5 linked regions of the Cricetulus griseus genome follow. The protein of the gene in region 1 purifies or fractionates together with the protein of each later gene. This does not show direct contact. Links are inferred from orthologs where the notes say so. Each region holds a gene or a part of one and is shown on either strand. Other genes may lie near its edges.

Region 1 (6,070 bases):
AACTTAGCCTGACAGCAGCATGGATAGAACTCTGAAGACAAAGACAGTACCTGTTTTAGGAACTATTCTTATTCTCTTGATATTCACTTAACTCATCTCTAAATCTTAAGTACCATATTATCTTAGCAATAACTGTTAACTCTATTCCTTTTCTTCACTTCATAAACAACACCCATTGTCACCTCCTACCTACATGATTAATAAAAAGCCTTTGGCTAGTCTTTTGTCTGCTCCTAGTTTCCATTCAGTTCACTAAGTGCAGCCAGGGAAAAATCTTGAATAAAACAAGTAGGAACCTATCACTCAGGGCTTGAACTCCTGTCCCCACCTAGCTTCTGACACCTGCCTTGTATCCCACTATCTACACAGAACACCTCTCCCTTCCTTACACTGCCCCAGGTGTACCTTGTGCTTCAGGTACACTACTTCTCTGTTCTATTTATTCTTCATCATTATTCATCTTTTGCACCTCAAACACCACTTCCTCCTGGATATCCCCTCAGCTCCCAGGATAGGGAGCTGCTCCTCGCTCTCTTGCCCTGTTAACACATCTCTAACCTCTAACCCAGTATGTAGCAAGTAATAGGAACTGAATGATGTTTATTCACAGTAGTATCTTCTCTACCAACATTGTTTATCTATCTCAACCCTGACCCTAGAATCCAGAAATTCAAATGAGAATACAGGATTGTCTTGGTGCCTGATACCTGGTGCCTCATGTAGTGCTGCTGGAATGCATTGCCATTTTTGAAGACTTTCAGGCAATACGGGCAGAGCAAATGCCGGGTATCTTCATGGATCATCCGAAAATGGACATCTACCTCAGAGTAGAGGGAGGAGCGATACTGACACACCTGAGTCACGTAAGAAGGAAAATAAGAGTAAGAGTGAATAACTGGAGCCATAAAAAGAGGTAACAACAAGGGCTGGGAGGTGGGTATTCTTGAATGCATAGATATTATTGTTCTGGTACTGTAGTGGAGATCTATGTGGGTGATAAGTTTAGCTGTGATAAAAATAGTAAAGGACAGCAGAGTCTGAGAATGACCCATATTTTCTAAGGAATAAAAGCATCCTCTATCCTGAGAGGGGAAGTTTGGGAGACAGACTCTCTTAGTATGCACAGGAGGCCCCTGTCTGGGTGTTACCCTATAGAAAGTCCTAACTACAGGAACTGTGTTAGTCTCCTTCTGTATGTCTTCACAATACCTAAACGGAATGTGTACAGTGGGTATTTAAGAATATTCATTACAGGATTTCTTTATAATCAGTTTTAAAACAAAATGCCTAAAATGCTCTGGAGAAAAAGGCAATACCTGACAAACATAAGGCATCTCTCCAGGCTTATGAGTGTCCTTCATATGCTGGAGAAACAGTGGCTCGCTTTCAAATGCCCACTCACAGATCTTGCACTTGGCTGTAAGAAGAAAAATAATCTAGACATGCACCTGGATGTAAGATCATAGCCCTTAAGATTCTTTCTGACTCTGCATCTCCACTTGCAATCACCAACACTTCTGTAAAATGGTTCTGCTCTAACATTTGTATTGCCAATGACAACTGATGTCCCTATGTCTCTAACTCAGTCTTTTTAAACAAAGTTCTATTCTAGACTGTGAACTGTTTACATTTTAATTTGGGCATTCTCTCTACTTCTAACTTGACATCACATTCTCTGTTTACCATTTCCTATCTCTTACTTCTCTTTTTAACTCAATACCCACTGTTGTCATCACTCAATGACAGGTAAGAACTTGGTAGAAACCCTTATGATTTACTACTATTCATCAGCTTCCATATATCTGCAGTGTGCATTCTTCACTACTGAATGAGTTCTTTTAAAATACAACATGATTTTATGCCTGTGACTAAGGACAAAGATTCTAATTTATATAAGTAATTCATGAATATCTACTGACTGTCCATGAAGTACCAGAAAGAATTTGTTCTGAAAAGGCTGACAAACACTAAGAGATGTTTGCTTTCTGATTTTATGACAGGGTCTCATTACACAACTCTGTATGGCCTGGAATTCATAGACCATTCTGCCTCTGCCTCCCAAGTCAGGGAATAATGGTATGTGTCACCACACTTGGCTGGACAGATGCTCTTACTTTGTCATAAATGGCATTTCTCTTTCTATATTAACAGATTCAAGATAATTATACTCTGAAATCAGCCAATTTGTCAAGCTTGATTATAAGGATATAATTATAAATTTTTCATAAAAATTTTAATTGCTTCATATTTTGAATTATAAAGTATGGCTAGAAAAGGGGACATGTTTGTGTTTTTCTTTGTTCACTGGCCTTTCAAGTTTCTAGAAATATGGAGATTGAAGACTTAAAGTTGTAAGTACTTATCAGACAATGGCCCACCCCTTGAGTCTTTCTAAGTTCTTCCTACATTAAAAACTCTGAAAGTTTAACCACTACTTTTTGTGAAACCTGAACACAAGATCTTTCCCTTCCTGGAATTATCTTACCATCCCTGCTATCACCTAAGGCAGGTTTGATTCTTTAGAGACAGGGTCTTATGTAGCCTAGGATTGCCTTGAACTCAGTGGTGTTTCCTACCTTGGCTTTCTAAGTGCTGGTATTACAGGCATGAGCCTGTAAAACTAACATATAATATTGTTTTATTCTCACTATAATTATGTAAGCTCCTATCCATAACATAATTATACTTAGCATAACTTTTAATAAAACTGGCAATCCTTTAAAGGACACCAGAAATTATCTGAACAGGGAGAGGAGATGGTTCAGTGGTGAAAGTGTATACTGCTTTAGCAGAGAACTGGAGCTTAGTTCCCAGCATACTGGGCAGCTCACAATCATCTCTAACTCTAGCTCCAAGGAAATCTGATGCCTTTGGCCTCTGTAGGTCCGTGCCTAGGAGCATGTGCACACAAACACACACACACACACACACACACACACACACACACACACACACACACACACACACTAAAAATTAAAATCCTGAAGCTGGGTGGTGGTGGTGGTGGCATATGCCTTTAATTGTAGCACTCAGGAAGAGGAGGCAGGTGGATCTCTGAGTTCAAAGCCAGCTGGTCTACAGAGTGAATTCCAGGACAGCCAGCGCTACACAAAGAAACCCTGTCTAGAAAAAACAAAATTAATTGATCCAAAATGCTGGGCTCCCATCTCAAAATGCCAACTCAATAGAAATAATATATGTGTTTGGTTTTTTTGGTTTTTTTTTTTTTTGGAAACAGGGTTTCTCTGCATAGCCCTGCTGCCCTGAAACTCACTCTGTAAACCAAGCTGGTCTCCAACTCACGGAGATCTGCTTGACTCTGCCTCCCAAGTGCTGGGATTAAAAGTGTGCACCACCACCTCTGGCTAGAAATGTGTGTTTTAAGCAAATGACTTCATTACTCTAAGTTAGTGCTCTCATTTTATAGTACTTTAAAATCAGGCTTGAAAGAAATAGGGAAAAGCAAGTCCCTAAAACTATTATCTGCATGTAAAGAGCTCTTTGCTAGTGTCATTCAGTAAGTGACAAAAAGGTAGCTCCCACCCCTCCACTGGAGTTTGCATTTTCAAACTTACTAGTAGACTCATAGGGACTGTGAACATTTTCCAAGTGGCACTGGAGCTGGAATGGGGTGGAGAACTGGCGGTAACAGTGTTGACAGATAGTGTGACCATCCACCTCGCCATTCTGCTGATCAAGTTCCACATGGTGCTTCATATGGTTCATGAATCTGTAACACAGCACAAAGAGAAAGTACAGAAAACACAATCAGTAGTCTTTGAGAGATATGATAGAATTATAAGCAAATATTATTTGCTCTCTCCTCCAACTGCCTCTATTTGGGATAGTCTTTTTCTGAGCTGGCGAAATTTTTCAAATTCTGTACATGCGTGTGTGTCTGTGTATGTGGGCATGTACTCACAGATTCTGTACATGCGTGTGTGTCTGTGTATGTGGGCATGTACTCACAGATTCTGTACATGCGTGTGTGTCTATGTATGTGGGCATGTACTCACAGGTACAGTGATTAAAGAGACCAGAGGCACTGGGTCCCCTGGGGCTGGAGTCACAATCAGCAGCACCCGATGTGGTGCGAGGGAACTGGATTCAGATCCTCTGCAAGAGCAGAGCACACTTTGAACTTCCTTTGAGCCCTCTTCTCCAGCGCCAGATACCATGTTTTTTGTTTTTTTCTTTTTGGTTTTTCAAGACAGGGTTTCTCTGTATTGCTTTGGAGGCTGTCCTCGAACTCGCTCTAGAGACCAGGCTCGCCTTGAACTCACAGAGATCTGCCTGCCTCTGCCTCCCAAGTGCTGGGATTAAAGGTGTGTACCACTAATGCCTGGCCTTTTTTTTTTTTTTTTTTAAATAATTTATTTTTTATTTTATGTGCATTGGTGTTTTACCTGTATGTATGTCTGTGAGAGGGAGTCAGATCTTGGAGTTACAGATAGTTGTGATACCATGTGGGTGCTGGGAATTGAACCCCAGTCCTCTGGAAGAGCAGCAGTGCTCTCAACTGCTGAACCATCTCTCCAGTCCCCAAATAATAGGTTGTTAAAACTAAAATTAGGTTCTGTGCAAAGAGACTGGTATCCTTTATTAATAAAATAACAGTATTGTACACTATAACTTCTAACAAGACTGCATCATAATTAATGTTTCCAAAAAGAAAAACTTAACAAGGTAAGAAAATTTGTCTACTTTCATGCTTACCTAATGTTGTTCTTTAGCCTTTTGGTACAATGAGGGCATCGGAAAGATGTGGCAACCTTAGGAAAGCTCGTGAGCTGGGCTACCTTGCCCCCATCCCGTCCATAGTAAAAGTCATCAACTAGCATAATAAGCTTGGTCTGGACGCCATCTCCAGCGTTCTCATTTGGCTCTGGTACTTTGGTAGGTGGTGAGAGAGCAGGAATAGGTGTAGAGGAGGGTGTGGAAGTGATGGGAGCTGTCTTCTCAGGGGATGAGGGCTTTGCTGCCAATGGAGTACTGGCCTCTGCTTCGAGGGACTTGCCTTTCTTCTGGTACTCAACCATTTCAGGGCAGCAGTACTGTAAAAGAGATGACGTCATGATTCTGATTACCCGAGACTAGGATGAGCTAAATCCATATCACTAATAGTCCCTGGGAGTGATCTGTTAATGTAGGCAATAAAGGATATGTTTGTGGACACTGGGATCTCTGCTCAGGATAGTCCAGGAGTAGCTGGACTATAGGCATTCATTAGCACACCTGAGCTGGGTAAGGTGGTTATCTTCCAGCTTTCATCTTGCTTTTTTTAGTAATCCCAGAGTTCACATTTTTCTTTTATATGTCCACAGAGCCTCTAACACTACACCTTTTAGAGCTCTCCCACCTGCCTGTCTAGAGACTTATAATAGCATCATTTGACTTGGAACATTCTAGAGAAAGAAGTTCCAACCTTTTCATTTGGACTGATACCAGAAAGTTACAAGACTATAAATAAAGCAGGGACCAGGTAACAGGTTTTAATTCTTCTAGTGACACAATTAAAACTGAGCTGAGGTTATGACAATTGTCTGTGGTCTTATGCAACAAACTTGCTGTCCCGCGAGATCAAATCTACCATGCTAAGACAGTAAGTGTCCCATCACCTATCAGCAGTTTTTAAATGCTGATATCATATTTTCAGTTCACATAGCCCTTTTCTACAATATACCAAAGGAGAGAACAGCATTTACAAGTTTCCAAGCCAGTTTAAGCATCTGATTTTCATGCTCTCACTATCAGAGAGGGAAGAGGAGGCCACTTAAGCTGGCTCCTGATACAGGTGGTGTCACTTACACACATGTGACCTCTCAAGGCTTCAGTGACACGGAACTGAGCGTTACACCGTGGACATATTTTCCGTCCACCATCCTGGAGGTCAAACGCTGGGATGGAAGAGGTCACTGGAAGAATGGAGAAGAATTAATAAGATTAATACAGCATACTGGGGCAAGATTCCTGAGAAAACAGCCAAGAGTAAAAAGCAAGCATGAGAGGCATACTTTTTCACTAGGGCTGGCTGGCAGACTGAGAACAAAGGGCATCTGACCAGCAGTCA
Region 2 (6,070 bases), on another chromosome or scaffold:
TTTATTCTAGCCTTTTATGAAATCCCAGGCAATTGTTCCTAAAAAGATTGTATTTGCTAGGTGTGATGGCACATACCTATGATCCCAGCACTGAGGAGGCAGAGGCAGGCAGATATCTTAAGTTTGAGGGCATCCTGGTCTATAAGGAGAAACCCTGTCATGAAAATAAATAAATAAAAAAAAATATTTTAAATTCTTTTACAAAATGTAAAAATGTTTATGTGTGGTGGAGATGGCTAGAATAGGGCATCAGACTCCTGAAACCAGAGTCACAGGCCATTGTGAGCTGTGGTACAAAGGTATTGGGAACCTACCTAGAGTCTTCTAGAAGAACAAGAAGCGCTCATAACTGCTGAGCCCTATCTCCAATCCCAATCCCAGACATTCATTTATGACAATGCTTAATCTATCTACCCCAATTTTGTCTTTCACTTATGTTAAGTACCAAAAGTCCAGGCCGGGTGGTGGTGGCGCATGCCTTTAATCCCAGCACTAGGGAGGCAGAGGCAGCCGGATCTCTGTGAGTTCGAGGCCAGCCTGGTTTCCAGAGCGCGTGGCAGGATAGGCTCCAAAGCTACACAGAGAAACCCTGTCTCAAAAAACCAAAAAAGTACCAAAAGTTCAAACAGTTTTTTTTTGTTGTTGTTTGCTTTTCGACACAGGGTTTCACTGTAATTTTGGCTGTCCTGGACCTCACTCTGGCTTCAAACTCACAAGAGATTCGTCTGCCTCTGCCTCCTGAGTGCTGGGATTAAAGGCATGTGCCACCACTGCTGGGAAAGTTCAAACAGTTGTAACCACCTTTCAAACATACAAGTATTTCTAGTGGTAATTTGATGGAAAGTCTAGGAATGACCTGGAACTCTTCAAGTGCTATCTCTGGACACATAGTGAGTTCTAGGTCAACCTGGGCTATGAGACCTTGTATAAAAATAGCACTATGGGCTGGGTGTTGGTGGCACACCCCTTTAATTGCAGCACTTAGAAGACAGAGGCAGGAGATGGATCTCTGTGAGTTAGAGGCCAGCCTGGTCTACAGAGCAAATTGCAGGACAGGCTCCAAAGCAATACAGAGAAACCCTGTCTGGAAGCAAAAAAAAAAAACAAAAAACAAAAAACAAAGCAGCACTCTGGTATAACAGATGCTAAATAATCTGTTATGCATGAATCAACTTACCTAAAATGCCCAGTACTCCATAAGAATAATGTTAAATCATGAAAGGAAATAACTTTCAATAGATCCTGAAGGGACCTAACTTTAAAGTACTGGCAAAACATTGACTATTTTAGCAAATTTACTTCTACCTGTTGTTTTTTATTGCATTTTGTTTTTGTTTGCTTTTTGTGGTAATGAGGATTAAAACCCAGCCAGGTGGTAGCAAACACCTTCAATCCCCAGCACTAGGGAGGCAAAGGCAGGCAGATCTCTGAGTTCCAGGCCAGTCTGGTCTACAGAGCTAGTTCCAGGACAGCCAAGGACCGTGAAACTCTGACTCGAAAACAAAAACAAACAAACAAAATACCAAACCAAACCAAAAATCCAAGAGAACAAAACCCAATTCCTCATATACACTAGGCAAACACTCCACTACTGAGCTATATATCTTCTGCTAAAGATAAAGTTGTGATGTCAGGCTGTGAAAATGGCTCAGTAGGTAAATACACTTCCTATCCAAGCCTGAAGACCAGAGTTCAGTCCCTGGAACTAAAAAGCTGGATGTGCTGGTCTTCCTACTGCAAGATGCGGGGGCAAAGACAGAACTGGCTGAAAGCTAGCCTCAGATATCCTGCTCACAACCAAAACAAGAGACTTTGACTCACACAAGAAAGTGAAAGTGACCTGCCCCTTAGAAATTAAAAATTTAAACAAACAAAAAAGCACTTATATTGAAATGCTAGTTATAAACTGGGCATAGTAGTACAATGCTTTCAGCACTAACCTGGACCTCACAGAGATCCACTTGACTCAGAGAGCTGGGATTAAAGCCTTGGCTTCTTTTCATAAATCGTTTATTATATATGCACATGTGTATCTATTAAGTGTATATTCCTGTTTGTCTGCATGAGTGTGGGTGTGTATGACTGGAAGTCTGAGACCACCTCAGTTGTAGGTCCCCACCTTCTAAACTTATTCACTGCGAGGTATGCCAGGCTAGTTACCCCTCAGGCTTCCAGGGATTCTCTTGTTTCAGTCTCAATCTCAGTGTGGGACCACAGGGAGAGATGCATGTGCCTAACTCTGCATGGGTTCTAGTATCTAAATTCAAATGCTCACACTTGCCATAACAAGTGGTCTACTCACACTCATTGAGACCTCTAAGTACTATGTATGTCTTATCTCTGTCTTTGTCTGTTTCTTTTCTTTTCTTTTTCTGGCATACCTGAGAATCAAACCAGAACCCTGAGTATGCTAGGTGAAAGCACTTTACCATTAAACTACACCCACCTCTTGTCCCTATTTTATTAAAGGGGAAAAAATGAAAAGATTATAAAATTAAACAATGGACCGAAGAAATAGCTCAGTATTTAAGAGCACTGCCTGCTCTCCCAGAGAACCATGGTTTGGCTCCCAAAACTCACATGGCCACTCACAACCATATGCAACTCCTGTTCCAGCTGATCTGATGCGCTCTCTGCACTGTGGGCACCAGACAACACAAATGCAGTATACAGATATACATGCAGGTAAAAGACTCACACACACACACACACACAAAAAAAAAAAAAAAAAAATTTATGTGTGTTTTCGGAGACAGGGTTTCTCTGTGTAGCCCTGACAGTCCCGGAACACTATCTTTAGACCAGTCTGGCCTCAAACCCATGCCCCCCCCTTTCTGGGAATAAAGGTGTGTATCATCACCCAGCCCAGCAAGAAAATATTTTTTTTTCTTTTCTTTTTCTTTTTGGTTTCAAAACAGCATTTCACTGTATAACACCCCTAGCTGGCCTGGAATTAGCTCTGTAGACCAGGTTGGCCTCAAACTCACAGAGATCTGCCTGTCTCCCAAGTGCTGGGATTAAAGGTGTACGCCACCAACCAGCTAAGAATTTTTTAAATAACAAAAATAAAAGAAATTAGCCAAGTTCATCCACCTATATCTTAAAGGGTGGAACAAGAATCTGGTCCCAGACTATCTGGCTCCCAAATTTGTGTTCCCAACCAATTTCTTAAATTACCCCTCAAATATAAGATTATTAAAACATCAGCTCCACAATGGGAGACTATTGTGGTCTATTGACTCTCTTGATTTTTATGAAAGTGTATAAATGGGAAAAAGACAGTGGCTCTGGGTAAATTTTTCTACCTCTACAGAGTCCTAATGCCTGAAAAAGAAAGCACTTACTCAGAAAAGCCTTTCCACTTCAACAGATACTCCACTTGCCCCTTAACCATGCGTCTGTCTAACACCTTTTCCACCACATACTCCTCCTCATCCTCGGAAGAAGAACTGTCAGCTGTCCTCTTGGTTTTCTTTCCCATGTCGCACGCTGATCCACCTGAAGGACTAAGGCCACCAGGTTCCTGAAAAGGGATAAAGATAAAACGGTTACAATCCGTGAGGGTTATAACTGCCACTTCTTGATGGAACAGAGGGTACAATACTAGTCAGTCTCATACCCTTCTTTTTGGTCTACAATTATTCTAAGACAGGGCTACAGATTTAATTTTAAAATGGGTCAATCCACATTTCCCTAACAACAACTTCTCTTCAGTTGAAGAGATCAAATTAGATGACACATTCCTTTAATTTTAATATTCAAAAAACCAAGTAGCATGACATGCTACTCATGACCATTTCTGCATCTACTTGTGAGCCAGGAACTCAAAGGAAAATGTGGAAAACCTTCAATTAAAGGAACCAAAAAATAAAAATCCTTTTCCTCTGAGGCGAATACATGTTTTTATAAAAATGAAGAAAAAGAAAAAAAGAAACCTTCCCCCACAAAACACCCAAAAGTAACTTTTCCATACTCTGAGCATTTTGGTCAGTCTCTTCTCAGCGTGTACGTGTACATACACACACACACACACACACACACACACACACACACACACACACACACACACGGCAGTTAACCATCTCTCACCACATTTCTAGTGACTTGGTACATTTCCCTTAAACAACTTGAGTCTGTCCCTTTAGCATGTCCATCAGCTCACAAAAACAAGGCTGACAGCTCAAAAACACTAAGCCTCCTTTTTAGCAAGCTCATTTGGGAATAGAAGGGAAAGGGGGCAGAGGGAAAAAAATTCAAAATTAGTCATTGGACTAGTCTGTAATTCCCAGGGCTCGACTAACCCAAACAGTTATGGAGGTACCTTGCCTCTTCACTGAAGTTGACTTTGGGCCAAAGGAAGAGGAGGGGAAAGAAGTCTGGCCCCAGATTCTGAATCAACATGAAGCCTCCTCAGAACACAGAGGACTATTCATCTCCCAGGAAAGCCAGGACAAGGCAGCACAAATGGAAATTAGGCTCAGAAATATGCAGTCAGAGGTGCTCAACAGAGAATCTAGTTTTAAAAATTCCCACACTGCTGAACCATAATCGTTTTAAAAGAATTCTTCCTTAATCATGTTAAATGGTACCCACAGTCTGGATTATCAAATAGCAGGAATCAATCTCAGCTGACTCCGCTGTTATTTCTCTATAATTTCTAAAGATGTTTTTCATAACATTTCCATCTTGGCCAGAAAGCCAACCTCAGGTATAGAAAGGGTAACTAATCTCAGAATTATGTTCAAGTCAAAGAAGCAGAAGTTTGTATTTATCAATTTATTTCAAATTAGTAATTTTAAAGAAACATTACAGGAATATAGTGTTGAAAAATCCTATCCACAGAACTTATTAGCAGTAGGTAGGCCAGTCACAAAAACTGCTTGTATTAATTTCTAACCTATAATAACTTTACTTGAGAGTGAAGGCATGGGGAAATATAGGTAAAAAGGTTTTCAAATAAATTTTCCATTAATTTAGAAGACTCCCAGGCATCAAAAAAATATAATAACGTTTATTTAAAATAAATAGCCTCCGACCTCAGTACAGACAGGAAATGTCATATTCCAGAAGAGAGTACCCCACCCCCACCCCCACTCACCTTGGAATTTCCGGGAGCTGAGCAGTTTAGGTCAGAGCGCTGGGTTTAAACCAGCCCCATGTTGGAAGCATGCAGTTAAGCATTGTGGCTATGGCCTTCCCTGCCTCACCAGGGGAAAAAAACAAGGATTTACATATGTGTTCTACAGTTTGAGGGAGGAAGAGAATTTTTTTCTTTATACCTTCATGCTAAAGAGAAGCCCTAAGTAGATCAATAGGGGTTCCCTCCCTTACCTACCGGATCGCCCCAGTTCGTTCTTTCCCTCTGGGCTAACAGGAGGGGCCTCCCCTCCCAGGTCTGGGGCTTGGCGGGCTGGCAGTTCCCCCGCCCCCACCCAGCTGCCTGGGCGCCACTGCGCAGCTGTCCCAGTCCGTTGCCATGGCAACTGGCAGCCTTACTAGACTAAGAGAGAGAGGCAAATGAAAAAGTTAAAAGGCTTAACTTTCCTTTTCACTGCAGACTGGGTGGAGAAGTTGGAAGGTACCTCCCTTGGCCTCAAGGCTAAGGCTTTCAGAGCTAAAGGGGGTTAGTTCTTTGGTTTAAAGTCCAAAATTTAGGCTTATTCTTCTAAAAGCACTGTGAATTAATCAATTGCATTCATTTTAGGACCACCTAACAGGATTACAGCTCACTGGCAGAGGGGGAGGGGTAAGAGTAGGCCCTTCCTACAACAGCCCAAGACAAACCACCCTAATCTAGAAGCACTTTGGACAAAGCTTTTTCCACCATCTGTCACTGTACAGTTAATTAAAATAGCTTGAGGGAAAGAAGTAACAGGGAAAGGGAGAGGGGAAGTATTTTAATGACACTATGTAACTTCTTGTTTGAGAGAATTACAACAGAACTAGAACCCAGACACTTGAAACAATAGCTGGGCATGGACTCCAGGGCCTTATACAGACGGCTGAGCTACATCCCCAATCCATAAAAGAACTTTTCAGCTGAATTTACAGGTGAGAAAAATTAGTCCCT
Region 3 (6,648 bases), on another chromosome or scaffold:
TCTCTTTCATTCGAGGTCAGCCTGAAATACAGAGGGAGTTCCAGGACAGCCTAGGCTACACAGAGAAACATTGTCTCAAACAAAACGGTGGAGGGGGGGGGCGCTGGTTGTTGATGGTTTATGCCTTTAATCCCAACACTCAGGAGGCAGAGGCAGGTGGATCTCTGTGAGTTTGAAGCCAGCCTGGCCTACAAGGTGAGTTCCAGGACAATCTCCAAAGCAATACAGAGAAACCCTGTCTCGAAAAAGCCAAGCAACCAACCAAAAAAATAAATAAGACCAAAACAAAACAAAACAAAAAGATAATGCACCTTTAATCCTAGTACCTGGGAGACAAGCACAGGTAGATTTCTGTAGCCAGCCCTGTCTATATAGCAAACTTCAGGCCAGGGCTATATAGTGAAACTCTACCTAAAACACACACACACTCTCTCTCTCTCTCTCTCTCTCTCTCTCTCTCTCTCTCTCTCTTACACACACACACACACACACACACACAGAGAGAGAGAGAGAGAGAGAGAGAGGTGGCATACTGTTTTATTTTGTTATTAATGGAGTCATGTTATTAATGGATCACGAAGTCTCAGGAACTCTTCACCCACCATCAGAAGTAGGTACTGTGTCAGTCTCCCTAATCCACTCAGGCTGCAGGTGCTGTATCATTAAGGAAGGCCCCTCAGGTTGGCATCAGTGCCAAGACAAAGTAAGCACAGAGCAGCAGGTGGGGGGGGGGAAGCATTCTCAGATAAAGCCAACAGCAAGATCAAAGCCTGAGACAGCAAAGAGAGGACTGTGTTTGAGTGCTGGGGATCTGAACCTGATAAAAAAACGGGGGTGGGGTCCAGAAAAAGCATCAGGGTCAGAAGTATTGGAAAGGCCAGGTATGGTGACGTGGCCCTGTCACTGGGGCATTTGGGAAGCTGAGGCAGAAGAACTTGCAGGAAGTGCGTGAAAACTAGCATGGAGCTAGAGTGAGTTCCAGGCCGTCGTGGGCTGCACATGGAGGCTGTCTCAGGAACAAAGCACAACTTTCGTTCTCCACCTGTAATGGGACTCCAATGGAGTGTTTTAGGTTGCTAGTGATAAAATCAGTTTTTTTTTGGTTGTTGTTTTTCAAGACAGGGTTTCTCTGTGTAGCTTTGGAGCCTATCCTGGCACTCACTCCGGAGACCAGGCTGGCCTCGAACTCACAGAGATCCGCCTGCCTCTGCCTCCCGAGTGCTGGGATTAAAGGCGTGCAATGCCACCAATGCCCGGCATAAAATCAGTTCTTTCGAGCACAGTTTGGGACGGTTGTGATGGCTACATATAGTCAGCATAAAGTTATAGCTCTTTAAAATCAGCTACAGGAGTTGGGCTTGCTGCCACATGCCTGTAATTTCAGCTCTAGAGGCAGTGCTCAAGGTCATTCTCTTTAACCCCGGGGAGTTAGAGACTAGCCTGAGTCCCTGCATCAAAAACAAAATACAAAACAAAAAACAAACACTTAAGAGATTTTCTCCTCTCCAATTGTGTCCACGCAAAAGAAGCGGCCTTCACTTCCCTTGAGAATGCAGACACCCTTTTGCCTCTGGGCATTTGCATTAGAAATTTCCCTCTGCCGAGAGACTCCCAGTTGAGCTGGCTCCAGTTCAGGCTTGGCTTAAAAATCAGCCCTGGAAGTCCTTGCAGAACCCGAGCCTGGGGCAGGCCTCTCTGGCACCCGCAGCCTCCTGCTCGCCACCTCCTCCGGGTGTGCAGTTGTAGGCTTCAGTCTAAACAAGATGTGGTCCGTCTTCCTTACGCTGAGGGTACCGGATCTCCCGAAACGCAGCAGCCACGTGCTGGCCTGATTCTCCAGGAGGGCAATGAAAAGTCTTACTCTGGCCGGGCGTTGGTGGAGCACGCCTTTAATCCCAGCACTCGGGAGGCAGAGGCAGGCGGATCTCTGTGAGTTCGAGGCCAGCCTGGTCTCCAGAGCGAGTGCCAGGATAGGCTCCAAAGCTACACAGAGAAACCCTGTCTCGAAAAACCAAAAACAAAAAAAACAAAAAAACAAAAACCAAAGTCTTACTCTGGGGGCGAGAACCTGCTCCTAGACCTGGTGCATTTTCAGGGCAAGGCAGCCAGGCCACTTTGCTCAACGCTGCAGTCGCTGGACGCATGCGCCTTGCTCAGGTCGCCCCCCCACCACCCCGTCCCCATCCATCCTTGCATCCATGCATGCGTGCATGCATATGCTAATCACTGCGCTGGGAAGGACGGCCTCTCCCGGGAATATGCAAATCACATCCTCCGGTGCGGGAGGGAGGCCTTCCTTTGTCCCGCGCTAGCATTATGCAAATAAGCGAGCTTGCAACCCCGGGGTCGGGGGCCGAGTGCTCAGCCAGCCCCCTCCCTCCCTCCTCCCTCCCTCCCTCCCCTCCCCTCCCCTCCGAGCATCCCCTATTTATGCGCTGTGCTCGCTCCCTCGCGCTCGTCCCTTCGGTTCCCGAAGCCGCGGGCGGGCTCTACCGAGTCCAGCGGGGCCGTGAGCGGCGGGAGTTCGGGTCCCCGCGCCCGGTGCGAGCCGCTCTTCCCACCAAACGGCCCGCCTGGCCGCGCACGCGCCCTGGGCTCCTCCGCTCGCCCCTCTCTTGCTCGCCCAGGCTCCCTGAACGCAGGCGCAGTGCCCGGGCTTGCAGCAGCCGCCGCCGTCGCCGCCCCCGAGTGCGAGCCCGAGTGCGAGCCGGGGCCGGTGAGTGTCCGGGCTTGGGGTGCGCGGGGCATGCTGGGAAGCGGGCGATACGGCCCCGCTGCATGACGGGAGCCCGGCCGCCCCGCTCGCCCGCTCGCCCGCTCGCCCGCCGCTCGCCCGCGGCGGCGGCGGCGGCGGCGGCTCGGCCCCGGTGAGCAGCCCCGAGCGGGAGAGTCGTTGGCTTGCCTCGCCTCGCGGCCTTGCGGGAGGCAGCCTCGGGCCAGGCGCGTTACGGGAAGGGCCTGGGCTCCCCGGGGTGGGGGTGGGGGTCTTTTTCTTTTCTTTTCTTTTTTCTTTTTTTTTTTCTTTTTTTTTTTAGAATGTGGTCGTTCAAGGCCCGGGGCGTCGTGGGAAGTTGTCACGGGGCATTGTTTGGTGCCGGGGTTCGGGGTTTGCGGTTTGGGGTTTGTGCGAGCCTTGCTGCTCGCTCCCACCGTGTCGGGTCTGCGTTGTGTGCGGTCCGGGCCACGTTATTGCCTTGGTGGGAGGTGACGGGGGGTGGGGTGGGGGACACACAGGGGTTCCTGTAGCCCTGACTGGGGGTGGCTTTGAACCCCCACTGTTGTGGAGGGTGACCTAAGAATTTATAGTCTTCCCCAAGTGCTGAGTTTGCAGGGGTGCAGCACCACGCCCAGCTGAGTTTCACCTGTAGGGCTGAGGGTGGTGATGGGGACACACAGGGTTTCCTGTGGCCGTGACTGGGGGTGACTTTGATCCCCCACTGTTGTGGAGGGTGACCTAAGAATTTATGGTCTTCCCCAAGTGCTGAGTTTGCAGGGGTGCAGCACCACGCCCAGCTGAATTTCACCTGTAGGGCTGAGGGTGGTGATGGGGACACACAGGGTTTCCTGTAGCCCTGACTGGGGGTGGCCTTGAACCCCCACTGTTGTGGAGGGTGACCTAAGAATTTATAGTCTTCCCCAAGTGCTGAGTTTGCAGGGGTGCAGCACCACGCCCAGCTGAGTTTCACCTGTAGGGCTGAGGGTGGTGATGGGGACACACAGGGTTTCCTGTGGCCGTGACTGGGGGTGGCTTTGATCCCCCACTGTTGTGGAGGGTGACCTAAGAATTTATGGTCTTCCCCAAGTGCTGAGTTTGCAGGGGTGCAGCACCACGCCCAGCTGAGTTTCACCTGTAGGGCTGAGGGTGTTTCCTTTCTTTTTTTTTTTTTTTTTTTTTTTTTTGTACCCCCACTATCTGTCTCGGAAGTCATTCAGTCTGGTGGCATCCACGACTTCTGTACCGAGGATGGTTGCACCTGATAGATGTGGAACATTCTGGAAGGAGCTTGGTGTAATGTGGGTTTTTGCAAAGGGAGGGTTGTCCCCAGGTCACCCCGAGGGGAAACTCCGGACGATCCCTGGTGTGGTAGCCAAGTAGGCGAACAGTGAAAGCCCTTGGTGTGGTGACACATGCCTGTGTATAGTTCCAGCACCCCTTGGCCGGGGCAAGAGAATCAGGAACTATATATAGGTCAGTTCTGGCTGCATAGTGAGACCCGATCTCAAAACAGAGGGAGAATGGGTTTGGGTGGTGGTAGGTACAGCATGGAACAAGTATATTATTTACCCAAGATAGAAACCAGCTGTTTTTAGTTTAGTTTGTTTTTTTCAGGCATAATGTAGAACTAAGATTTTATTTATTTATTATGTACACACCATTCTGCTTCCATGTCTATCTGCACACCAGCAGAGGGCGCCAGATCTCATAACGGATGGTTGTGAGCCACCGTGTGGTTGCCTGGAATTGAACTCAGGACCTCTGGAAGAGCTGTCGGTGCTCTTAACCTCTGAGGCATCTCTCCAGCCCGGGATCCGTGTGTTTTTAAGTTCCCCCTCGATTGAAGCCATTCCACTCTTCCTACTCCAGCTGCGTTTCCCCTGACAGTGTACTTGACGGCTAGGCTTTGAAAGAAAAAAAAAAATAGTGTACTTTCTACTGTTGTGTCCCCAGTGCCTAACATACAGGCTTTGTCATATTTTTAGTGAGGCTGAGCCCCGTGGAGTGGTGCACGTCTGTAATCCCTGCACCTGAGAGGCTAAGGTTGGAGGATCGAAGGTTCAAGGCCAGCCTGGACTGGATAACACTAGTCTGTGGAGAGTGTAAGGATATTGGCCCTCTCACAGTGCACGGGGAGGAGGGAAGGTGTGCTTTGGGAGAGACAGGGATTATTAGGACTGAGGAGAGGTGTAGAATGTGTTTATAGGTGCGTTTTTTTATTTTTATTTTTTTGGTTTTTCGAGACAGGGTTTCTCTGTGCAGCTTTGGAGCCTGTCCTGGCATTCGCTCTGGAGACCAGGCTGGCCTCGAATTCACAGGGATCCTCCTGCCTCTGCCTCCCGAGTGCTGAGATTAAAGGCCCGGCTATAGGTGAGTTTTTGCAAGGTGAAAATTAGTTCTCGGGGCCCGCAAAGAGGAAGGAGAAAACTCCAGGTGGAAACTTCAGGATATACTAGGACCTCTTCCCCTCTAGCTATAAAGGGCCTGTGTGCACCCTCGAGAGGTCTGGAGTGGCTGGGGGGATGGGCAAGGGCCACCACACACCTGCAAGTTCTATGAATCTTAGGGTTTTTTTTCTTTTTTTTTTTTGAGATGGTCTCATGTAGCCCAGACTCTGTGGTCAACAATGACTTTAAACTTCCATCCTAAGGGCTGGATTACAGGTGTGGATGGCCACGACTCTGAGCCTATTGATGTTCAAAGCATGGCTTTGAATGCTTGTTCAACCACCAGTCTGGGGCGTTGGTGGCGCACGCCTTTAATCCCAGCACTCGGGAGGCAGAGGCAGGCGGATCCCTGTGAGTTCGAGACCAGCAGCCTGGTCTACAAGAGCGAGTTCCAGGACAGCTTCCAAAAGCCCCAGAGAAACCCAAAACAAAAAAAAAAAACCAAAACCAAAAAAAAAAAAAACCCATCAGTCTGGTGAGGTGACCTCGATCTTGGGCTTTGGAATACCTGAGGGGCCTTTCTGTTCCTTATTTCCTCTTCTGCTTCAAGGGAGCTGTTTCTGTGTGGTACTGAGTGCACCAATCAAGGCCTGGTGGCAGACTTTCCAGAGAAGGAAACAGACAAGAGAAGTTGGGTCCTGTCTGGAGCTATAGCCAGAAAGGCACATATTTGGGTTTAAACCTAGTCAAGGCTGACTTGCACAAATTAGTGTAGGATGAGGCCTGACACTCACTCGGGGCATGGCGGTGCACCTGTAATCCTGGGGTTTGGCAGGAAGATCTGGAAATCAAGGTCATTTGAGACTATTTAGTGACCTTGAGGCTAATCCAGGATGGGGGGGGGGAGTGAAGAGTGGCACTGGAGCTCAGTTGGTACTGTGCTTGCCTAGCACGCACGAAGCCCTAGGTTTGATCCCCAGCGTTTGGGAGGTAGATCGGGGAGCATCAGAAATTCAGGGTCAGCCTCGGATATTTGAGCTCTCATAAAAACAAAACACTTCCAGGACAGTTAGTATCTCCACTGTACCATGTTTTTCTGTATCCCTAATTTTTAATGAGGGCCTCCCTCAGTCCCTGACATCCCTTGCCTCTCAACAACTAAAGGGTTAATGCTTTATGATTGGTGCCCATGCCAGTACCTACCTTTGAATAACTAGGGATGTTATCTCTTCCCTAACCTACTGAATAAGATCCATAAAGTCCTGTTTCCCAGATAAGGAAGTTGAGGCCTCCAGGAGGCAGGGTCTGCAGAGTCGGGGTTCTGTGTACAGTCAAGACAGAACAGAGGCCAGCAATGTCTCACCCCCAGCACTGAGCACAGGGGGGTCTTGGAATGGGGACAAGTGTTATGTAAAAATTTATTGAGTCATCACAGGCCTTTTCTTTCCCCATGTCCAGCATCCCTCTCTACTTGCCAACATCCTGTGTTAGAAGAGCTTGTGGCCAGAGGTGTGACCGTGGGAGAGCTGGCCGGGGAGGGACCTT
Region 4 (6,070 bases), on another chromosome or scaffold:
CATCCAAATCTTAACTTTAGATATAGTAGTAAGACAATTAATCCCCTAGACTTCTTTTTATCCTTGTTTTGTTATTTAAGGCAAAGTCTTACTCTATATTCCCAGTAACCTCTAGTGCTGCAATTACAGATATGGGCTATTACAAATGGCTTGTGTGTGTGTGTTTGCTTCTAACTTGTGATACTTTCATTTTATATGAGTGCTGGGATTCTAAGTGTGCAAAACCATACCTAACCAAGAATGCAACCCTTCAAAATACGGAGATACTACTGTAACTCACACTAGTGATATACAGAACAAGTGTATCCTAACTAGACTACTTAACACATACTACTATTTATTCAGTTTTTCTTTTCTCCTGTAAGTTAGAAGAGGGTCCGAATCAATAAAGACTGGAGGAACACACAGAAGAAAATAGGTGGTTAGTTCATTGTGACACAGGCATTCACCTGCATTGAACTTACTCCAGCCATTATCTAGGGAAGAACTACCATAGATACTAGTTTCAGAGAAATTTCTAGACCAATCAAAGGACAAAGACTTGACAATCCTATTTTAACTGGCAATGGCTTAACACTTACTCTTCCTAGTCCATCATGGTGGCATGTCCCTGTAATCTCAGCACAGAGTCTGGGGCAGGAGGATTTCAAGTTCAAGGCAAGCCTAGGCTAGAGTAAAACTGTCTCAAAACAATAAAAAAACAAAGATAATTACTTTTACTAACTTGAACTCTTCATTAAACTGTTTGAAAGTACTGCCATGTACTGCTTGATAATGTTCTGGCCAGAACATTATCTGGCCATTACCGAGTGATGCCGTGGTGCATGCCAGTCATAGAAACCTACTGTGCTGGCAGCACACAAAAATACAGCAAGTACAAGCATGTTCAGCAGGTGATGCTGCCTAGTGCTAACAAACACCACCCACTGTTTCTATTTAGAACAAGTCTACATTGTTACCACTAGTATTTTTAATAGAAAGAGGCAAGCTTACATTATGCTCAGTAACAGTAAACAGTAGAGGCCTTGCTGACCCCTGCTGGCTAATTTTGAAATTTAAAAATAAATTCTATAAATTCTTTCCTACCCTCAAACATGAACAGAATCCTGTTTTTGGGGCCGGCCTGATCTTTACTAAGAAGGTGGCAGAGAAGGAGGGAAATTCAATCCAATCACATCTCAGAATTTTTTTCTTTACTCAACAGAACTGAAATGTGATTCCTCTCCATAGTCTCTCCCACCTACCAAAAGAAAAAGAAAAAAAAAAAAAAAAAAAAATCAGAGATCTGAAAATCCTAAGGGCCCCTACCTGTAACTCATGAGTCCAGGTTTGTAGTCATGCCGAGGATCACTATCGAAGGACTATGTCATCTTAAAGATTCACACCTGGCGACTGGAATTTCGAAGGTGCAGCTCTTTTCCTCTGGCATAGAACAGATGGAGAAGGGAAGAAACAACCACACAGAGCCACTGGCAGACTCACCATTTCATCAGGAACATGAGTTCTCCACTGGAGTCAGTAGCTCCAATAATCCGTTCAGGCTCCAAACCCCTGGCAAAGCCTCGTGGCTTTTCTGACTGTAAAAACCAGAAGGACAGAACAATTTTATTGGCATAGGACTATATCCAGAATGAAGTTATTGCTGTGTTTCTAAGAAATGTAATCACAAACATTCACTAAAGGTTTCCTCTGCTTCCCACACCATGAGGTACCCCTGGCATGAATGGGACACACACCCCAAGCAAAAGAAATGTTCATGCTGTCTCTTCAAAGGTAAATTAATTAAGATACTAAGTAAGACAAAACAGCTACTTCAAATCTGTAATGATCAAAACACTGAAAGTGGGCTGGAGAGATGGCTCAGAGGTTAAGAGCACTGACTGCTCTTCCAGAGGTCCTGAGTTCAATTCTCAGCAACCACATGGTGGCTCACAACCATCTGTAATAAGATTTGGTGCCTCTTCTGGCCTGCAGGCACACATGCTGGCAGAACACTGTATACTTAATAAATCTAAAAAACAAACAAACAAACAAAAAACTAAAAGCAATCTATTGACAGCAATCTACTGACAGGAAACAAATTCAGTTGCTGTCATGTGTCTCCAGTAACTGTTACATCCTTTATGCCAGAAGAGGGCATCAGATCTCATTACAGAGCCACCATGTGGTTGCTGGGAATGGAACTCAGGACCTCTGGTAGAGCAGCTAGTCAGTGCTTTTTTTTTTTTGGATTTTCAAGACAGTGTTTCTCTGTGTAACAGTCCTGGCTGTCCTGGAACTCACAGAGATCCCCCTGCCTCTGCTTCCCAAGTGCTGGGACTAAAGGCATGTGCCACCAACACCCGGCTATCCCATCATTCTTGCACCATAGATAAAAAGATTAGATCACTTTACAGGAATAAGTCCCAAATCCTTTTTTTTTTTTTTTTTTTTTGGTTTTGTTATGTTTCAATGAGACAAGGTCTCCTGTAGTCAAGGTCTCTTATACCTGATCCTTCTGCTAGGATTACAGGTGTGCACATGGTTGACTTCCAAATCTTTTAAAAACATTAGTTTATTTCCGAAGGACAGAGGACATAACTGCTGAGATTCAGAGGAAGAAGTTCAAGTATCGTAGCTCATAATTGTAAGCCCAATACTTAAATCCTTGTCCTAAGTTTCTCACCTCTTCTTTCTTCTTCTTTGGTTTGCTTTCCTCTCCCTTATCATCAGAATCAGAATCGGCTTTGCGCTTGCCTCCCTCTGATTTATCTGTCTCATGGGCTGTTTTCTGTGATTGTAGAAACTCAGCAATAAGGTCAGGGCAATCCAGGTTCTCTTCTGGCTCCCATGTATTGTCCTCACTGAAACCAGCAATCACAGCAAGTTACACTTCCACTCAAGTCAACATTTGTAACTAAGAGAGGAGGTAGTCTTGGAAGAGAGTTAAATGATAAGGAACAGCTAGATTTTTGTTCAAAATTAAGAAGTTTCCTAGCAGGGGATGGTAAAGACCAAAGGCTTAGAAACTTGTCTTCTTCAAGGAAAAACTACTTTGCAGAGGTGGACTATCTTATACAAATTGCTCCTCAGAAATCACTGTTGTGGACTGGTGAGATAGCTCAATGGGAAAAAGGAGACATCTGGCAAGCCTGAAGACCTGACTTTCATCCCAGGACTTAAGGCCACACATGCCACATACACAAAACAAAATGCTGCCATATATCGCAGTATTCTGCATGTAGGTCCTTCCTCAGTAGACTATCAGCTGTGGAGGTCAGGACTGACCCCAGGTATACCCATCACAGAACAGGTATCAAGCATAAGGACTGAATTTACCTGTGCCAATGAAACTTACTCTGAGAAACCCTTCCACTTTAGAAGATATTCCACTTTGCCCTTGACAACTCGTCGATCAAGAACTTTTTCCACCACATATTCCTCTTCCTCTTCTTCTAGAACCTCCTCCACTTTCTTCTTGTTCTGTTTTTTCCCCATAGTACCCGCCAGCTTTCCGGTGTAAAGAGTGACGCTGCTAAAATGACAAAAGAAAATAAAAAGGGCATCAAGGCACATTTACTGGTCAGATAAATATCTGGATGGTAAGGGAAATCACAGATGATGTACACTGCTTATGTATAATGCTCTACTTATCTCCAGTTCACAACCACGTTTCCACGTTAGCTAGCAAGTTAGCTATATTTTTTTTTTTTTGGGGGGGGGGGTTGAGACAGGGTTTCCCTGTGGCTATGGAGGTTGTCCTGGAACTAGCTCTTGTAGACCAGGCTGGTCTTGAACTCACAGAGATCCGCCTCCTCTGTCTCCTGAGTGCTGGGATTAAAGGCCCATGCTGCTGCCTCCACTCGGCACGATTATTTTTTTAAAAGCACAATTATTATTTTAATTCATTTTTAAAAATGTGCATTGGTGTTTTGCCATGGGTGTCAAGTCCCCAGAAACTGGAGTTACAGACAGTTGTGAGCTACCATGTGGATGCTGGGTCCTCTGGAAGGGCAGTCAATGCTCTTAACTGCAGATCCATCTTTCTAACCCCTAGCCATGATTATTAATCTCACAGCAAATTTCTTTCCCTTTGGACAAGGACTTATTAAGAAGCCCAAGGTGTCCTCAGCTTTCTTTCCTTTTTTTTTTTTAAAGATTTATTTATTTATTTATTTATTTATTTACTTATTTGTTGTGCATGCAGTGTTCTGTCTGCATGTATGTCTGCAGGCCCGAAAAGGGCACCAGATCTCTACAGATGGTTGTGACCTATGTGGTTGCTGGGAATTGAACTCAGGACCTCTGGAAGAGCAGCCAGTGCTCTTAACCTCTGAGCCATCTCTCCAGTCCTGTCCTCAGCTTTCTATGTGATGGAATTATAGGTGATACTACAATGTGTGGGTCGAACTCACAGAGATCTTCCTGCCTCTGTCTCCCGAGTGCTGGGAGTAAAGGCATGTGCCACCACCACCGCCCAGCCTTCACAGTCTCATATAGCTCAGGATGGCTTTGAATCCCTGATCTGGTCTCTATCTTTTAAGTAATGGGATCATAGATGTATGCTACCATGTCCAGCTAAAAAGTCCCTTTATTTTTCACTTTGCTTTTCTTGAATGACATCATAAATTCACAGCTCAAACTTTAAAAATTCTTTTACTGCATTTACTCATGTAGTCTAAGTTTGGGTGTCACGGAGGTCACGGGACAATTTGTGGGAGTCAGCTCCATGTGGGTCTCGGGCTTGGCTAAGCTACCTCACATGATGTAGCAGAGGATGAACTTGATCTTCTGACCCTCTTGTCTCTTCCCCCCAGTAGTGCTAAAAGACTGAACACAGGGCTTTGTATAATATACAAGGCAAGAGACTACTCTACCAACTGTGCTACAACTCCAGCCAACTCCCATTTTTCCCTTTGGTAGTACTAGGAATTAAACCTTGGGTTTCAAGAATGCTAGGTACTATGCTACAGCCCTTGCCCATAAATCACTATTATTTGACTTAGTTTACTTTATTTCTAAGCCTCAAGACTGCTTAGAAGAAGCACCAGATTAACTATTTAAGCTGGAGTACTGTAATAACTTAGAAAATGAGCAGGGGGAAAAGAGGAAGGTAGCCATCAGAGATGTAGTAAAGTTTGTCTTCTTTTGGGCAGGACAACTTTGTGCAGCTAGTTCTCTCCTTCCACCTTCCTATGGGTTCCACATAAACTCAAGGCCACCTGACTTTAGTACTCAAGGCCAAGTGCAGGTCCTGAGTTTATTCTTTTCTAAAACATGCTTCTGAATGGAGAGATGGCTCAGCAGTTGGGAGCACTGGCTGCTCTTCTAGAGGACCTGGGTTCAATTCTCAGCACCCACATGGCAGCTCTCAACCATAACTCCAGTTCCTTAGGATCGGACACTCTCACACAGACATACATGCAGGCAAAACACCAATGCACACGAAATAATTAAAAGCAATAACCACACAAGTCTAAAAAATGCTCCAACACACATCCACACATAGAATTATATATGGGTGAAACTTGTTCTTTCATGTTGGAAGTTGGTTTTGTTTGATGAAAACCCCAAATACGGCTGGGGATACAGGTCAGTTGGTGGAGAGCTTGTCTCACACAAATGAAGCCTTGCATTTGACCCCTAAAAACCGGGCATGGTGGCGCACGAATGCTTGTGATCCTAGCAGGAGAATCAAGGGGTTCAAGGTTTATCTTTGTCTACACAATACCCTAAATCAGAAAGTCCCTGAAATATTCTAGCATATAAACTTTAGTTCCCTGTAAACCTCTTACCTTTTAATCCATTCAGTTCTGATGTTCTAGCCCCCGCCCCCTTCTCTGTGTAGCCTTGGCTGTCCTGGAACTCACTCTGTAGACGAGGCTAGCCTCAAACTCACAGATATCTGCCTCTCCAGTGTTGGGATTAAAGGTGTGTACCACCACACCTCTGACAGGCCAGAGCTATATCCAGGTTCCCTAAACACTCTTGGGTAGCATACTATAAAGTGTTCAGAATACCTTGAATGGAGAAAGTGCCCAAAGCCTTAAAATTACCAACTTGTGTCGGCAGATGGCGCTGTAAATATACC
Region 5 (6,070 bases), on another chromosome or scaffold:
GTCAAAAGAGCAAAAACACAACATACAACCCCTTCAGGGGTTGTGACCTACATGCTGAGAAACCCTGGCTTAAATCAAAAGTGGAGTTAAAGGCTTAGAACCCATCCACCTAAGTCTTACTGTGTTGATTCGAGCAGTAGACAACCACCGCCATCCCACACAACAGGTAAGATGAGGCAGGTAAGACTGGCAACTACTGAAATCAAACAGCCTTTAGTACACTAATGTGCATGAGAGATTTCCAACAGAATGTTCATAGTGGCTCCTGACTTACAGAACTTGGTGAAAACATGGCTTAGACTGTGCTGCTCAACACAGGAAAACTAGTATTGTAAGATGGAAATTTCTGTGGCTAATCTGGTTGACTTGAGTAGATGGAGATGTCACGGCATTAGTGAAGCACACCCGATGTACTTGAGTGGACATTTTCAGGAGTGGGTCATGAGGGCTCTGCTCTGGCCAATGGTTTCAACTACTAGCAGACTAAAAACTGAGTCTACTACTGGGAGGTGGTGGCACAGTTGGAGGAAGGTTTGGCCTTGACCCTGGCCCTTCCTCACTCCTCTTTTACTCCTGGATGCCATGAGGTGAGCAGTGTTTTTCTGCCATACCCTTCCTCCACATCACAGGCTTACAACCTATTGAAACCTCCCAACCCATGAGCCAAAATAAGCCTTTCCCTGTAGGAAGCCGGTTCCTGCATTATCCATTACAATAATAGGTGCCTGAAGACACCAAGATGTAAATTACTTCACAGGCGCTGGGTAATCTCCATTCCTTTGATCTCTGCCTATCCCGTGGCTCATTTTGGCCTGAGGAGCTGAAGCCATTCATAGGGTAACACGTCCCAGGCGGCTGGCCAGCCTTTATAAGGGATGGTTTTCTTGGTTTAGTGTCTCGCTCTGGGAAGCTTTTGCTCTTTCACTCTCAAGATGCATTAAAGCTTGTCTGCAGAAGGATCCGAGTGTCCCGTGTATGATTTCTTGCTGGCGAGAAATACAGAGCACGCGGGACATTTCCCAAACTATCTTCCTCAAGTATCTGACACAATGACAGAAGTCATGACTATAACACAATTATTAAAAGAAAGTACACGAAGATATTAACATGAAAGCCAAAGCCTTTTTAATTTGGTTGATAAACATTTAACAAAGTACATTAAAATCATCATCCATGAAGAGAAACAAGGTATTTACAATGACAAAACTGTGAGAAAGAAAATCAGAATGTTTCTACAGGTTTCGCTATGCTGCCCAGGCTGGGCTCAAGTGATCCTTGGCCTCTCATGTAACTGAGGCTAGTGTGTACTTCCTATCTATTCATTCATTTTGAACTGTGAGTCGGGATGACTTTCAGCTCCTTCTCATTATTACCCAGGTCTTAGCCCCAGCAGGGAGCATGGAAGGCTCAGGAGTAGGGGGTTTGGCAATTATGGATCATCTGCTAATGTGAACTGGCAGAGAAGCGAGTGAGGGCCAAGACACAACTGAAAATAACTACAGCTAAGCGTAGCCTTAATCACATGGTCTTCTCAGTCTTTGCAAAACCACTTAGGTATACTCAATTGTCCTATCAGCAGAAAACCAGTGACCCCTAAGACTCCAGCTCCACAACACCCAGGAAAGTATTAAAGATTCTTATACTGATTTTACATGAAGAAAGAGGATATGAAACATGATTCAAAAGTACTTATAAGGTTAACAAAATTTTTCTCAAATTTACTTTTCATGCTCAATTCTCAAACCATCTTTTTTTTTGTTTTGTTTTGTTTTTTTTTAAGGTACTAGGGATTGAACTGTGGAACAGTTAATATTCAAAACATGCTAGGCAAGTGCTCTACCACTGAGCCCTCTACCTAATAGTTTTTATGATCTGAAATCAATCACACACACAGAGAGAGAGAGGGGGGAGAGAAGGAGAAAGAGGGAGGGAGGAAGGAAGAGAGAGGAGAAAGGTTTTAATTAGGTTTAAACTTGTTTACTAAATGAACTGCCTATCTCCTCCCACTCCTTGTATTATGACTAAAATGAGTTTAAGGATAATGAGTTATATCCATCTGGAATACATAACAGAAATGTATTGACTTATAAAACAGCCAGCCACATAAACAGGAGGTCACATAAAAAAAGTAACCAAGTGCTTATTCTTTATAACACTATTAAGACGAACAGGATACACTACACAGCATCTACTAGGCTATTCAACAAGCTTGAGTTTGGCAAAAAACATTGCAGAGCAGGTATTGTTTGAAAGTCACATCTGTGGCTCCTCCAATGGTGATTCAAGAGCTTCCATCAGCTTCTTATTTGCCTCTTCATTATGCCGGCTTTGACAATGAGTTAAATGTTTCTTAAAGCCTCTTGGGAAATTTGATTCAAAATTACAGCGTGGGCATTTAAGTAAACTTTGCCCATGGGCTGCTACGTGATTTTTAAGAAGAGACTCCAAAAGAAATGCTTTCCCACAAATTGTGCATTTGTATGGGCTATGAACATTGTGCTTATTAACTAAGTGATGCAAAACAGCACCTTTTTTCATGGCACGACAGCAACAAATTTTGCAATAATACTTCCCTTTTCCACGCTTCATATATTTTGCAATCTCTTCCTCAGAAATGAATGCCTCCTTCTCTTCAGTGAACTGAAGCACATTTTTGGACTGCTCAGGACTACTCATCTCCATTTTGTTTTCTTTGCCAAAATCAATAGATTCTACATCCACCTGTTCTTGGTCGCTGCTTGACTCCTGGCCCTTGATATCTATGGTGTCTAAATCTGTTCTGATGTACTCACTGCTACTGAGCTCAGCATCCGAGTTCTCTTGGCTGTCTTTCTTGAGCTTCTTGGAAGAAGGAAATAAAGCATCTTCTAACAGTTTCTTGGGTGTAGCCAGAAGCCCTTCCTGGACCACACTATCACATTTTGCATCATCTACAGCTTCCAGCTGTAGCTCCTCACTAAGCTCAGTGGCCTTCTGAGTATCAGAGAACACAGCAGATTTGGGGAGCTCAGGGAAAAGTACATGCTTCCGGGACTCTGGGAAAAGTGCACGTTTCCGTGGCTCAGGAGAAGCGGGAAGGACTGTTTTGGGGGGCTCAGGAAACAGTGTGGACTTCCTAGGCTCAGCATCAATAGAGAGGACAGGCTTCCATATGTCTGAGGTCACCTTTGGGGGCTCAGATGAGCCAGGAGAAGCATGTTTCCGTGCCTCGGGGAAGACACTAGGCTTCTGAGACTCTGTAATGAAGGAGGACTCAGGAGAACCACGAGAACTTTTCTGGGACTCAGAGAAATCAAGTGAAGCAGGAGAGCTTTTCCGCTGGTCAGGAGAAAGCTTCCGAAGGTCTGGGGACCCTGAAGGCTTCCTGAGCTCTGGAGATCCTGCTGGACTTCGGATCTCGGGGGAGAGAGGCGGACCTGGTCTTCGAAGCTCAGGAGGCACAGGGGGCACTGCCTTCCAGTGTTCAGGTGGCAAAGCAAGAGGCGTCTTTCGGAGCTCAGGGGGACCAGACTTCCATGACTCTGGGGATGTGGGGGGCGTTTTCCAGGAACCAGATGAAACTGAAGACTTCCAGGATGCAGAGGAAACAGGTGGAGCTGCCTTCCAAGGCCCAGGCGATACAGATGGTATTGGCTTCCAAGGTCCAGGAGAAATAGATGGAGCAGGTTTAGATGATTTCCAAGGTCCCGATGTCGCTGAAGGACTGGATTTCCAAGGCCGAGGAGAACCAGGTGGTCCTGGCTTCCAGGAACCTGGTGATACTGCTGGGGCTGGTCTCCGTGGCTCTGAAGTGATGGCAGGGAATGGCTTCCTTGGCTCAGGAGACTCTGATGGGGATGGCTTCCGAGACTCAGGAGATGCAGTTAGGGATGGCCCCCAAGGCTCAGGAGATGTGGCCAGAACTGGTGACTCTGGAGACAAGGCAGAAGGGGGGGCCCCTGTATCTGCAAAGGGAGAGTGCTTCTGGGGTTTGGAGCTAACAAGAGCAGACTTGACAGACTCAGGGGAAGCAGGACCAGCCTTCTGCAGCTCAGAAACCACACTGGCTGTGTCCAGGCATTCAGGAGAAGAAACAGAAGCAGTTTTTGAGGCCTCAGCAGGAAGACAAGGTGCCTGTGGCTCAGGAGAGACAGGGCCAGAATCCTGAGGCTCCAGGGCAGGAGGAACAGACTTCTGTGGCTCTGGAGACAAACTGGGACCAGTTTTCTGTGTTTCTACAGGGAGGGCTGGAGTAGGCCTCACTTCTGCTGGGTCAAAGGCTGTGCTCTGGTGTTCAGGAAGGGAAGGGCTTTTTACAGACTGGGTCTCTTTGCTCAACTGGTCCTTTGGCTTGTCACTCCACTTCTCTGAGGCCGAATGTTTGGCTGTGATGTGATAGTACACATTAGAGTACATCTTGCTGGTAAAGAAGCACTTATGGCAGTGGAAGAGCTTTGCACTCTTCTGGTAAAATATCAACTTGCCTAGTCCTCCAGTGTCCATATCATCACAAAACTCAGGATGGATGGAGCCCATGTGGATCTGCACATTCTCATAATCAGTGCCTCTAAAACCACAGTGATCACACTCCAAGCTTAGTGACGGAGTATGCAGTTCCGGGAACACTTCCATCTTACGCTAATGCAGATGGCTTCGTGTGTTTTAACAGCTTTCCACTCTGCTGTAACAGAGAGAGAGACAGAGAGGGAGAGAGAGATTATTGCAGGGACACTGTCCTCAGTAAACACTCAATGCACAGCTTCAAGTCCAGAAGGCAGAAGCTGCTGCACAAAACACTTCCGCAGGCTGCCCTGTGGGAGACTGATTCCTAACATGGTCCTCCTGACACCATCACTCAAGTATTTTCATCTACAGGCGAAGAAACTGCGTTTTCAGAGAAACCAACTGACTTGACTTCCTCTAGTTCAGGTTTAGGACTCTCAGGTTCTCAAAAATGAATTTTTTGTAGCTTTACACTTGATCCTAAAATCCTGAATCTACAAGCTGTCAACACACAAAGGTGATAACACACATCTTAACTTTAGATCCTTTCCAGGAAATAAATTAGTAAGTCTAGCTATGGAAAGGCTGTTTTAACCTGAATGGCTATCGTTTCTATCAGTTTTTGTAAGATTTATCCATCCTGGGATAAAAACAGATAAGCTGCTGGAAAGGCCTCTGAGTGAGACCCCACAGCACTTTCCAGAGCACTCCAGCAACGGTCAGACAGGGAATATTATGGAGGCTGGAATTGTAAGTCAGTGTTTTCACTGCAGCTAGTGTCACTGAGGAAATGTTCAAGGACACAGTGTGTGACACACATGGTTCATACTACATTTATCTGTGTCTAACCACTTTAAGAGTCCATCTAGGGCATTTTTATACAGAGAGTAAGCATAGAATTTTCTTCTACTCTTTGTGTAGTTTTGTAGAGAATATTTCATGGTTCAAAGTACTTGATTAAATTTAAAAATATGCAAGAGTACAGATGAGAAAGATTTCCCCAACTCCTCAAAAATGAATAACATTAAAAATCCTTGCTATATATAGGTGGCAAGTAGTATGTCACTACTGATGCTTAAAGTTTTCCTTTCTTCTTTGTTTACTTCCTTTAAAAAAAAAAAGGAAGGGTGTTGCTAGGTAGCACTCAATAACCACCTGAAAACTGAATATAATCCTCCTGCCTCAACCACATGAGTACTGGGGATTATAGAAGTAACCTACCACACCAGCTTTACTATGCTTTTCTTTTTAGTTTTTCAAGACAAGGGTTTCTCTGTGTAGACCTGGCTATCCTAAAACTTCAAGGCCAGCTTGGTCTACATGGCAAGTTTTAGGATAACTCACAGACATCCGCCTGTCTCTGTCTCTGCTGGGATTAAAATTGTGTGCTGCCAACACTCAGCTGACCTCAAACTGTTGATCCACCTGCCTAGACCTCCCACCTGCTAGGATTACAAATGCATCACCACATTTGGCTTAAATTATGCTTTCTTACCCCATTATTTTTTTCAATCATTTAGTATGTTTTTCCTAATTTCAATTGTTTCATTCTTCTTTGTAGACACTTATATCTTTGGTTTGTTGTTTT

Evidence for each region.
Region 2: the proteins of Pogz (region 1) and Cbx5 purify together in Homo sapiens (affinity purification with mass spectrometry; 5 studies listed by BioGRID and IntAct, with this or other methods). This does not show direct contact. The link is inferred for Cricetulus griseus from reciprocal best matches to the Homo sapiens genes POGZ and CBX5.
Region 3: the proteins of Pogz (region 1) and Znf428 purify together in Homo sapiens (affinity purification with mass spectrometry; 3 studies listed by BioGRID and IntAct, counting the BioPlex papers as one, with this or other methods). This does not show direct contact. The link is inferred for Cricetulus griseus from reciprocal best matches to the Homo sapiens genes POGZ and ZNF428.
Region 4: the proteins of Pogz (region 1) and Cbx1 purify together in Homo sapiens (affinity purification with mass spectrometry; 7 studies listed by BioGRID and IntAct, with this or other methods). This does not show direct contact. The link is inferred for Cricetulus griseus from reciprocal best matches to the Homo sapiens genes POGZ and CBX1.
Region 5: the proteins of Pogz (region 1) and Champ1 purify together in Homo sapiens (affinity purification with mass spectrometry; 4 studies listed by BioGRID and IntAct, with this or other methods). This does not show direct contact. The link is inferred for Cricetulus griseus from reciprocal best matches to the Homo sapiens genes POGZ and CHAMP1.

The regions. Positions count from the first base shown.
Region 1 is NW_023276806.1:61,639,010-61,645,079, forward strand, and holds part of Pogz (pogo transposable element with ZNF domain), read right to left. Parts: intron 5,916-6,070; coding exon 5,809-5,915; intron 5,055-5,808; coding exon 4,717-5,054; intron 3,731-4,716; coding exon 3,576-3,730; intron 1,418-3,575; coding exon 1,317-1,417; intron 855-1,316; coding exon 708-854; intron 1-707. UniProt on the Homo sapiens protein: Plays a role in mitotic cell cycle progression and is involved in kinetochore assembly and mitotic sister chromatid cohesion.
Region 2 is NC_048595.1:399,591,032-399,597,101, forward strand, and holds part of Cbx5 (chromobox protein homolog 5), read right to left. Parts: intron 3,524-6,070; 5' UTR 3,482-3,523; coding exon 3,345-3,481; intron 1-3,344. UniProt on the Homo sapiens protein: Component of heterochromatin that recognizes and binds histone H3 tails methylated at 'Lys-9' (H3K9me), leading to epigenetic repression. In contrast, it is excluded from chromatin when 'Tyr-41' of histone H3 is phosphorylated (H3Y41ph).
Region 3 is NC_048602.1:27,015,913-27,022,560, reverse strand, and holds the start of Znf428 (zinc finger protein 428), read left to right. Parts: upstream 1-2,476; 5' UTR 2,477-2,716; intron 2,717-2,803; exon of another isoform or gene 2,804-2,867; intron 2,868-3,235; exon of another isoform or gene 3,236-4,189; intron 4,190-4,701; exon of another isoform or gene 4,702-4,818; intron 4,819-5,024; exon of another isoform or gene 5,025-5,086; intron 5,087-6,561; 5' UTR 6,562-6,648.
Region 4 is NC_048600.1:109,950,155-109,956,224, reverse strand, and holds part of Cbx1 (chromobox protein homolog 1), read right to left. Parts: intron 3,515-6,070; 5' UTR 3,478-3,514; coding exon 3,338-3,477; intron 2,844-3,337; coding exon 2,666-2,843; intron 1,578-2,665; coding exon 1,483-1,577; intron 1-1,482. UniProt on the Homo sapiens protein: Component of heterochromatin. Recognizes and binds histone H3 tails methylated at 'Lys-9', leading to epigenetic repression. Interaction with lamin B receptor (LBR) can contribute to the association of the heterochromatin with the inner nuclear membrane.
Region 5 is NW_023276807.1:67,001,071-67,007,140, forward strand, and holds the end of Champ1 (chromosome alignment-maintaining phosphoprotein 1), read right to left. Parts: intron 4,661-6,070; 5' UTR 4,612-4,660; coding exon 2,254-4,611; 3' UTR 1,103-2,253; downstream 1-1,102. UniProt on the Homo sapiens protein: Required for proper alignment of chromosomes at metaphase and their accurate segregation during mitosis. Involved in the maintenance of spindle microtubules attachment to the kinetochore during sister chromatid biorientation.